Linked DNA regions of Drosophila melanogaster. The protein of the gene in region 2 interacts with the protein of the main gene of each other region in a pairwise test. Each region holds a gene or a part of one and is shown on either strand. Other genes may lie near its edges. The genes, in order: CG6726 and CG15130.

Region 1 (5,964 bases), on a different chromosome or scaffold from region 2:
ACGGGAAGATCCAGGCTGTGAGCCTGCCTTTTCAGGAACTCCACACATTCGGCTAGAAGTTAAGATGTACATGAGTAGTGCTCTTCTGTGAATTCCTTGGGGAATCCTTACTGTAATCCACATTTGGCTGCACCGTAGCTATGCGCAAATATTCGCGGAATATTTTGATTTCCTCGTTGTCCTCCCACTTTTCGGTGCTCATTTTGTGGATATGTTTTCGCTGCCAGTCACCAAACTCGAATGTGCCGCAGTTGGCAAAAAATGAACTTATACAGAAATTTTTGTGTGTTGGGTGATTTTGGTTTTATGGCCTTGGCTTCGTATTATTATCAAATAATGAGTTCGTTATCAAACTCGGTTGTTATAGAAATGATAACAGCACATATTCTTGTACAAAATTCTACCAAAACAAATGTCTAATAGCAAACGGTAGCCAATTCGATAAAGTTCACATAACACCAATAAAACTCAACCACCGTCGTTTATGGTCTGCGAAAAAATGGGTTATTATAATTTGTATTTGGTTTGATAAGAAAATAGAATACATATTAATGTAATTATTGATAATTATGATGTATATATAAAATACAACCCCTTTACGTGAAGGTTACGTTAGTTTTTGAGAACGATATCAATAGTTGTGACGATTTATTGGATATTGAATGAGGGCAAAGTCCATGACAAAAACTCTCTTCTGAAACTCGTGTTATCAGTGTGTGATTTTCATTTGTTTAGAAACAGATATGATTTGTAGTAGTCACACCATTTAAACATTTAATTTTGGTCCTACACTCATCGAGCCAAAAACATTACTCATAAGCGATAAGACCAATTGTAGCATATTGATTTCCATTTATGAGTGGAACTTCGCTTGAACATTTTATGAATCAGCAATAGAGGGGATGAGCTTCCTGTACACCTGAATTCCGTGCAGATATGTGTCGGCCCGCAAATATTCATCATGATTGTGCAGCAGCACCGGGGTGTTGTTGATGGGTGAAAATCCCAGAGCGGGAATTCCCACTTGCCGGACGTAGAAGCTATCGGTGGCGCCGGGGAAAACTCGTGTATGGGTGATCAAACCTCTGGAAAATTTCAACAAATTATGAAGTGAAAACTACACAATCTTTGTTTACCTACAGTTCATCTAGTCCCTTTTTGAAGCCCAGCCAGTAGGGATTGGAGTCGTCTATCTTGGTCACCACCGAGGGGCACTTCAGCGTGAAATCCAGTTCCACTCCACCACCGACTTCGTTGCACCACTCGCGAATCTGATTCTCCATTGCATCGGCATTCTGGTTGATGGCTATGCGAATATCAAAAGTGGCTTCTAGTACGGGGGGAACCACATTGCTTTGGACGCCACCGTTGAGTTGGGTCAGGTTCAAAGTGGTCACATCACCGGACTGCAAGGAGGAGTCCTCGGCCAGTAGCTTGACCTGGGTTTCTCGGAACTTCATCAGCTTATCCATCACAAAGTGAAACTTTTCGCCAGCCGTGCTTTTGTGCAGCAGCGATCCATGACCTGAAGTGCCACTGAATTTAAATCGAAGTTCTGCAGGGGTATAAAATGAATCAGAATATATTGCTACTGATGCAAATGGAAGACTTACGCCACAATGTACGCTCGGCGTAAAATACAGGATAAGTGTCATCTTCACTGGCGATGCCCTCGTCCAGGCTAAAGCCCACATTCATGGCTTTGAAGTAATCACCCTTGACGAATTCAGCCATGCCCATGTGTCCGCCAGTTTCCTCGTCGGGCACAAAAGTCAAATATACGGTCCTTTTTGGCTGATAGCCACTGGCTTTGAGTGCACGGACCGCAGCCATGTACTGACATCCCACGGACTTCATGTCCTGGGCACCGCGTGCATAAATCCGGCCTTGGGCGTCTATGTGGGCACCAAACGGCTCATGGGTCCACTTTTCGGGAAACACGGGCACCACGTCCATGTGTGAGTTCAATATAATGGATTTCAGCTCGGGATGCTTGCCCAGCCACTTCATAATCACCACCGGTTTCGAAGGCACAACAGGATACACCACGTCCACGCGGAGATTAAGTTTGTTAGCCTGGCGTTTTAGGAACTCCACGCATGCAGCTGCAAGGGAAATAGGGATAACAAAATCCAAGGAGCGGAAAAACAAATCCTTACTGTAGTCCACGTCTGGATGCACCGAGGGAATGCGCAAATACTCCTGGAAAATGATTATTTCCTCGTCGTTCTTCCATTGTTCCGTGCAAGTGCACATTTTGAGTTGAATGCCCCGTGGTTCTAAAGGAACTGACTTGTAATCCACCGTGCTGTTTGGTTTGAAGTCTGAGTGTGGATTGACTTAATGGCATTATCAGTTGTTGACTTTAAGCTACTTGATTAGAAGAGCCCACAATTTGCGGATTTTCATCTTTGCGCTAAGAGCTTAATGTTATCTAGCAAAGCCATAATAGTAAACCATAAACTTATTCATTTTCATTTAAATTTCCTTTTTTTGCTCACCATTAATGGTATGGACTATGGACTGGCTTATTTATTCATACATTGTTTATTTAAATGGGTTTTTATAAGCCTGCTTGTTTAAAGTTATTACAATAAACATCGACAAGTAAGCATTAAATGCATTATTTCATAATTGAATTGAGTTCGCTAAGCATCAGCTACGGCAGGAATGAGCTTCTTGTAAACCTCAATGCCGTGCAAATAGGTATCGGCTTTCAGGAATTCATCGTGGTCGTGCAGCAGGATGGGGGTGTTGTTAATGGGCGAGAATCCTAGAGCTGGAATGCCTGCGTAGCGAATATAACGACTGTCCGTGGCGCCGGGGAAAACACGAACCCGTGTCTTGAGGCCACTGAAAGAAACAAGGAGAAAGGATATCAGAGCCATGCCTTTTGTCAGAGCTTCTCATCCTTACAGGTCATCGAGTGCTTTCTTAAAGGCCAGCCAGTAGGCATTCGACGAGTCAATCTTTGTTGGCTCCACAAAGGGGTTTTTCATCTCAAACTCCAGTTCAATGCCGCCGCCAGCCTCCTCGCACCAGTCGCGAATCTGCTTCTCAAAGGCAGGGATATCCACGGTGACGGCAATGCGGATATCAAATACAGCTTCCAGCAATGGGGGAACCACGTTGCTCTGGACTCCGCCCCTCAGTTGGGTGAGATTCACAGTGGTCACATCACCAATTTCGAGGGATGAGTCGTCAGCTAGTTTTTGCACTTGCGATTTGCGGAACTCCATCATTTTGCCTACCACATAGTTCAGCTTCTCGCCAGCAGTATTCGGGAGCAACAGTGATCCGTGACCAGCAGTTCCGCTGATCTTGAAACGAAGATCTGCAGGAAAACATGGCTAGCTTAAATTGTTTGTATGAGTCAATCCTACTCACGCCAAAGAGTCCGTTCAGCGTAGTACAGAGCGTAGGTTTCATCCGCACTAGAGATTCCCTCGTCGAAACTGAATCCCACATTGAGCTTCTTGAAGTAGTCGCTCTTTACCAGCTCCCGCATGCCCAGGTGGCCGCCAACCTCCTCGTCCGGAACATAAGTGAGATAGATCGTCCTCTTGGGTTGATAGCCACTGGCCTTGAGGGCACGCACAGCTCCCAGATATTGGGTGCCCACGCACTTCATGTCCTGCGATCCGCGCGCAAAGATGCGACCCTCTGCATCTAGATCCGCGCTGAATGGACCGTGTGTCCACTTCTCCTCAAAAACGGGCACTACATCCGTGTGCGAATTGAGAATGATGGAGGGCAGTTCCGGCTGGGAACCCTGCCATTTTAGCACCACCACGGGATTCTGCTCGTTCACCGGATAGATAACCTCCACGGGCAGGTCCAAGCTGGCAGCCTGGCGTTTCAAGAATTCCGTGCAAACGGCTATAAATAGCAGACACATTTTATGGCAAGGTCATAAAGATCAGGGTACTCTTATCGCAGCCTCATAAAGATATACATGCCCATTGGAACTCACTGTAATCCACATTTGGATGCACCGTTGGTATGCGAAGATATTCGCGAAAGATCTTAATCTCCTCGTTGTTCTCCCACTTGGCTGTACTCATTTTGCACTCTATAAAATGTAAATAATTAGCCGGCTGATAACAAATCAATTAAATTGTTTGCTGAAATCAGCTGATCGACACTTCACCACAGCGGAGAGCAGACACACAACACACCTTTCGCAACACTGGCTCGACGACGACTGTGCGATCGTGGAGAGAAGCGCGCGTTTAAATATCAGCGATAAGCGAGCGAAAGAGAGGGCATGATAATAAATCCGAGAAGGAACTAAACCTAATTTCTTATCATACGGTGCTGCCTATAAACTGTTTTATCTTACGCATTTGTTTACTTTTTAGATGGCTAATCTACTTTTCAGTACAAATGACTTGCAGTTAACAATTGCTTCCGTCATTAATAATATTCGTGTCTTCCCATTTCTATATGAGAAACTAATTTGATGAATTTAATATCCAGCACTCAAAAATTCAATTGATTACAAAAGAGACATCCCCTAATAGTAATTTCTATCTTGTACTGCATTATTTATAAATTAAACTGAATTTTGCAGCTCATAGCACAAGGAGTGGAACTCTATTTCTGTACCATCCCAATTGGTAGGGATTCCACTCCATGTATTGGTGAACATTCTTCCATCACTTTCCGGTACATATGAACCCACTTTAAGGCTCATTTACTTGGGATTCCCCCTGGCTGATGGATTTATTTGCCTTAAATGGAGGCGAAGGTGCTTCGCATTGCTTTGGGGGTAACAGGACTGCAGGATTGCTGGATTGATGGTGACCCCATTTGGCCCGCAGCCAAGATTTCCGATTACTGATGAATCGCATGCAATCGCATTCCAATTCCAGTTGATTTGTTAATCAAGATGCACTGCACACGTTCGCACCACACGCCCAGTGGGCTTCCGGGTAAACAAGTTGCCCCTCCTCGGGCCTTTCAGCCACTCGAATCCAATTCAAATTTCGCATATTAATAGTGTTCCTGCTGCACTTGCCGACTTTGCTGCACTGCGTCTGTTGTCCCAGTAGTGTGTCAAAAGTTAGTTTCGCATTTAGATTTCACGCTTGTTCCCATACAGAAAAAAAGGTGGTTGGGCCAAAAAAAATACACAAAACCAAAGCCCTCTGATTTGTGTCGCATACACACCCTGCTAGGCCAAAGTTGATATTGTTTTAGTGTGTGTACTCACAAAAAGTCATTAAAAGTTCATTAACAATGTTGCTGGGATTTTAATGGCGCACCAGCAGCAATAGCAGCAACTACAGGCTACACATGTCTGCATTTTAAATAACATCCAAGCCCCACATTCGTACAAACTCGTACTCTCCCCATTTACAGCGTCACATAAGTCAAATAAATACACAAGTTTCCTGCGCACAAACACTCGTTCAGCTGCACAATGGGCCAAAATGGCAAGTTTTTGGCATAATTCGAATGTAATGTCCCTAGAATAGAGTCTATAAGTCTGTACAGAGGCTAAAGTAGTTCATTCTTAGTCGAGTAAAACACGAATCTACTTATCTGATGCCAAATTATTCACTTTTCGCCCATGGTGGTGACTTGGGGGCGCGCCTGTTTGTTGTTTGCTGATGTTGCTGCTGAGCTGACATGTTGTCGCTGGGCAAATAAACTAAATGAAAATTTTGTATATTGTAACAATTATCCGGGCAACGCCGGAAACTGTTTGCGTTGAGCACCCAAAACCTGCAGAACTGCAGAGATGGAACCCCGAGGATATCGCCTAATCCGTTATGGGCGCATTACCTGGCCAAAAAAAGCAAAAAAAAAAAATAAAAGCGAGAGAACTGATATAATCCTCCTCTGCCATTTACCATTTACCATATCCCTCGGCCCAGAGCGTACATTTCCTTTTGTTCGAGCTTTTTTCAGAGCCCATGGCAAAGTTTCGGTAGTATGGAAATATGGAATGGGAATTGG
Region 2 (3,891 bases):
TGCAAGGCCAGAGCCCAAAAACACGGAGAAGAAAACTATAACGTGAGCATTGGACTTTCCATAACGAATTCTGATTACTAACTCGTGTTCTTTTTGCAGGGGGAGAACTTTCAAGCGCATCGATTGATGTGTTCAGTATATTTAGTTGTTTTTATATAAATACAAAAAATAAATTGTGTATTAAAATTCGATATCCGAATGGTGAATCCAACATAAACTAAACCAGATTGCAAGACAAACCCAAGTATTCCAAACAGAACCGTAAGGCTAAATGTAAGCTCAGCAAAATAATGATCAAAGAATTAATAGTTACGCGTTAGTAAATGAATTGTGTGTGTTTGTGTCGAGTCATCGTCAAATCCGTGTCTCCGCCAATTTGTTACAGTCATAGGCCGAGTCAGCGCCACAGCTGAGCCGCATTTTAAACAAATAAACGTAGACTTAAGTGCAACATGAGAACTAAAACTACCATGTCAAAGCGAGCAACACGACTAAGGGATGCCACCAACTTGTTATATAGTCGCAATGGAGGATTCATCCCCGCAATTAGCCTGTATGTGTAGAAAGCGCATTTAAAAACGTACTGCAAATATTAACAAACCTTTGATACAGCAATCGGAATTAATAAAAACGAGAAAATCAAACTGCAATGTAAAATAAAAAAAGGGACACTCTTTTAATCTCTAGCTAGCTGCAGACGCTCGAATACACTTTATTTTCTAGCTTATTAGCTTTTAATTGCACATAATGTCTTAAATGTTACTAATATTTCGCTTAGGTATACCATCTCCGCTGCACAATACTATAACAGGCACTTAGATCTTAAACTTAACATTCTGCTTCGCGTTCATGCTCTCCATGCTGACCTGGAAGTTGAGATAGTCGCTCTGGATGCGGGCACACACTGAAAGAAATGTGTTGGGTAAACTAAGTTGGGACTGAGGAGCGCTTTGACTGTTACTATTGAGATGTGCTACTTACTTACAGTGGCAGTGTTCATTGCGATAGAGAGTTTACTGCTTAAGTACTTCCGATAGTTTGTACAGGGTGCGGGTGAATTTACAGAGCCCCTAGGGATCATCGTACTGTTCCAATTTGATATAAGCAAGTGCTGTGATAGAGAAGCGGCAGGGCGAGATGGATAGAATAAGTGAGTAAATCGCTTAACACTGGGAAAAATTCGTTCCAAGCATGCGAAGAGTTCTCATAAATTTGGAACAAGTCCAAAACTCAAGAAGATACTGACTTGAAATGCAATTTTGATTATTATTCTATTAGAAGAAGATAACTGAGAGTGAATATTTTGAATTTGAAATATTTTAAAATAACGTAACAATATTAAAAAACCATTTCAGTCGAAATTAAATTGATTACTGGTGGGATAACTGAAGATCAAAGTTTTGTATCGCAAGCTACTACTTTTCCGTTTATGTTATTTTAAGCCCCTTTTTATAAATTTGCTATCAAGATTGGAAAACAGAAGTGCTTTTCGTCCAATTGTGGTTCGGAACTTATCTTAAATGGTTGTAATGCCATAAAATACTACAATTAACAAGTTATTTAGACACCTAATTATTCAGCTGACTAGCATCTCTCTATAAGAAATCCCTTCACATTCAAAAACTTCAGAAAGAATTTTTCTCAGTGTGAGGTAACTAGCGTGCGACAAGAGGAGTCAGCTGGAGGAGTCGTTTATCATTTTGTATATATACAAATGCGTGAACTCGTGTGGGAGGTGGGTGGTGGATGGGCGGGATAGTGAGGATGGGTAGGAGGAGCTCCAGACAGGAAAAGGGCTTGGCTCGCATTAGGGTGACAGCGAAAGTGGGGCAGTTGGTACACAGGTTTTCTACGCGATGTGTATGTATGAGCGGGGGTAATGAGATGGCGGAGCCACTTTCTCACCCTTCTGCAGGTCCATGTCGTCCATTTCGGAGTTCTTGATCTGCTGCAGCTTCTCGCGGAACTTCTTTGTGATCTGCTTGCGCTGGTAGTCCGCCTCGATTTCCTGCTTGGTGCGCGGTATACGGAAGCGAATGCAGCAGCATACCATAATCACTGCGGCAATGATTCGATTAAACTGTGTCCAGACCGAAGCTACAGCTATGATGTACTCACTTATTAGGAGGAGGACACCCAGAACGGCGGCGATAATGTGCCACACTCGGAAGCCCGCTATGACCACACTTTCCAGCCACATTTCATCGAAGATATCCGAATCGTCATCCATTTTCCGCTTGGTTTGTGAGCTCTGTCAGGTGCTGGAACCGCGGAGCTGCTCCCAAAACACGTCCGGCTGCCTGGCCAATCCAGTTCCTACTGCTGGCCCAGGAACTGGTCCGAACTGGCCTGTCCCACCAAATAAGTTGGTAAGGGAGGCGCGGCCCAACACACTCCCTTCCTTCTGGAAAAATAATTCGCGGGGTGTATCCATGTGGCGGCAAAATGGCTAACTTGTAAAATAACAAACAATGGAGCCATCCCCTCCTGTGGACAAATGAAGCCTGAAACTAGAAAAGGCAATGATAGATATTTTACTAGACACAGGGCAGGATTGCTTCGGATGGAGGAATCTGGAACACCTTTGTCCTTACGAAACTTGCAATAGTTAGTCCTTAACAACTAACAAGTTCATGTTCTGAACATAAGGTATATTTGGAAAAAACGATAAAAACCTTTTTTAAAAACCTTCATTTGATTTTAAAGTGGTAAAATTATACAGTTCCTAAATATCTGTATAAAGTATTATGAACAAACTCAACCTCCTTTGTAAAAATCCGTCCCTGGTACATTGTGAATATGAATGCTAAAATGACAACAAACTCGACTCGAGTCCAAGAAAATGGGTGCGGTGCCGCATGCCTCAGGATAAAGACCCACTCACTTTACATACCGCAAGGATCGGGGGCGCAACAGCGGGGAATCGCGGGGCCAGGACAGTCCTCCCCCAACAAAGGACAACATGCAAGTGGTTAGTTAAACGGGCATGGTCACCTGCTGGTCACACCCAATTGGTTTTGTTACTTTCCGCGCTCGCTGAGATGCTAACTACTAAGGTCTGGGCGGGATTTGGAGGCGCCGGAATATGGCCTAATGACTGTAGAATGAAGGAATTGGCGTCCGGTCTTATGTGTGACTGCAATTACTCAATCAGACTGAGGGGACGTGGTCCTTTTGTCCCTTTATATACGTCTTCCAGATAAACAATTGTTATGAAGCCACTGAGGAAAGTCTGCTGGCTTACTTATAGTTGTTTTGTGATGGCGAATTTTAATAATATTATTAAATCTTAAGTAAATAAGAGTAAATCACAATTAACCGCAACTTTAGCGGATACTGCAATCGGATGTCTGGCAAAATTGTTCATAATTTTCCTGATCGGATATAAAACGGAGTTCGATGATGCTTCTAGATCCATTAGCATCCATGATGAGGACGATATGGTGTGCGAGCAGGCCGAGAAGGGTGCCCACTTGCCAGTACCATCTACACCATCTACCACTTTTTTTATTCACTGAATGAGAGTTTTCCTGGAAGTAATCGTTTGATCAAAACATTTATTGAGGTGTTAACTTAGCCCATTAGGTACATACGTTTCGAAACTCTAAACTTAGTTTTAAAGAACCGCGTAGTGCTTATCGAAAGGTGGCGCCACCTGGAAGGACGAAACTCGCGATGGCATTGGCCGAACCGTTCACAATGGACCCCAAAATGGCACTCGCTGGGATTGAGGCGCTTGCGCAGGAGCACTCAGTGTCGCCCCAGCGAGTTGGGGCAGCACTCATTCACCTACTCATTCAACAAAATGTGTGCTGTGTGCTATCCCGAATCAGTTTCAGTTCAGGCTCTCGTTCGGTGGCACATCGGTGGCGCTCGTCGCAGAAAAGGCAT

Evidence for each region.
Region 1: the proteins of CG15130 (region 2) and CG6726 interact in a two-hybrid assay, tested with the Drosophila melanogaster proteins (one large-scale study listed by BioGRID).

What each region holds. Positions count from the first base shown.
Region 1 is NT_033777.3:23,089,971-23,095,934, reverse strand, and holds CG6726 (uncharacterized protein), read right to left. Parts: upstream 4,212-5,964; 5' UTR 4,179-4,211; intron 4,159-4,178; exon of another isoform or gene 4,073-4,158; 5' UTR 4,065-4,072; coding exon 3,974-4,064; intron 3,880-3,973; coding exon 3,388-3,879; intron 3,335-3,387; coding exon 2,917-3,334; intron 2,854-2,916; coding exon 2,649-2,853; 3' UTR 2,502-2,648; exon of another isoform or gene 2,476-2,501; intron 2,438-2,475; exon of another isoform or gene 2,435-2,437; 3' UTR 2,257-2,434; coding exon of another isoform or gene 2,160-2,256; intron 2,106-2,159; coding exon of another isoform or gene 1,614-2,105; intron 1,556-1,613; coding exon of another isoform or gene 1,141-1,555; intron 1,086-1,140; coding exon of another isoform or gene 881-1,085; 3' UTR 751-880; downstream 1-750. Other genes in the region: CG17109 (uncharacterized protein), read right to left, coding at 1-52, 112-202; CG17110 (uncharacterized protein), read right to left, coding at 881-1,085, 1,141-1,555, 1,614-2,105, 2,160-2,256.
Region 2 is NT_033779.5:20,422,370-20,426,260, forward strand, and holds CG15130 (uncharacterized protein), read right to left. Parts: upstream 2,292-3,891; 5' UTR 2,231-2,291; coding exon 2,119-2,230; intron 2,059-2,118; coding exon 1,906-2,058; intron 1,112-1,905; coding exon of another isoform or gene 1,071-1,111; exon of another isoform or gene 982-1,070; intron 905-981; coding exon 816-904; 3' UTR 737-815; downstream 1-736. Other genes in the region: Arpc2 (Actin-related protein 2/3 complex, subunit 2), read left to right, coding at 1-42, 100-127.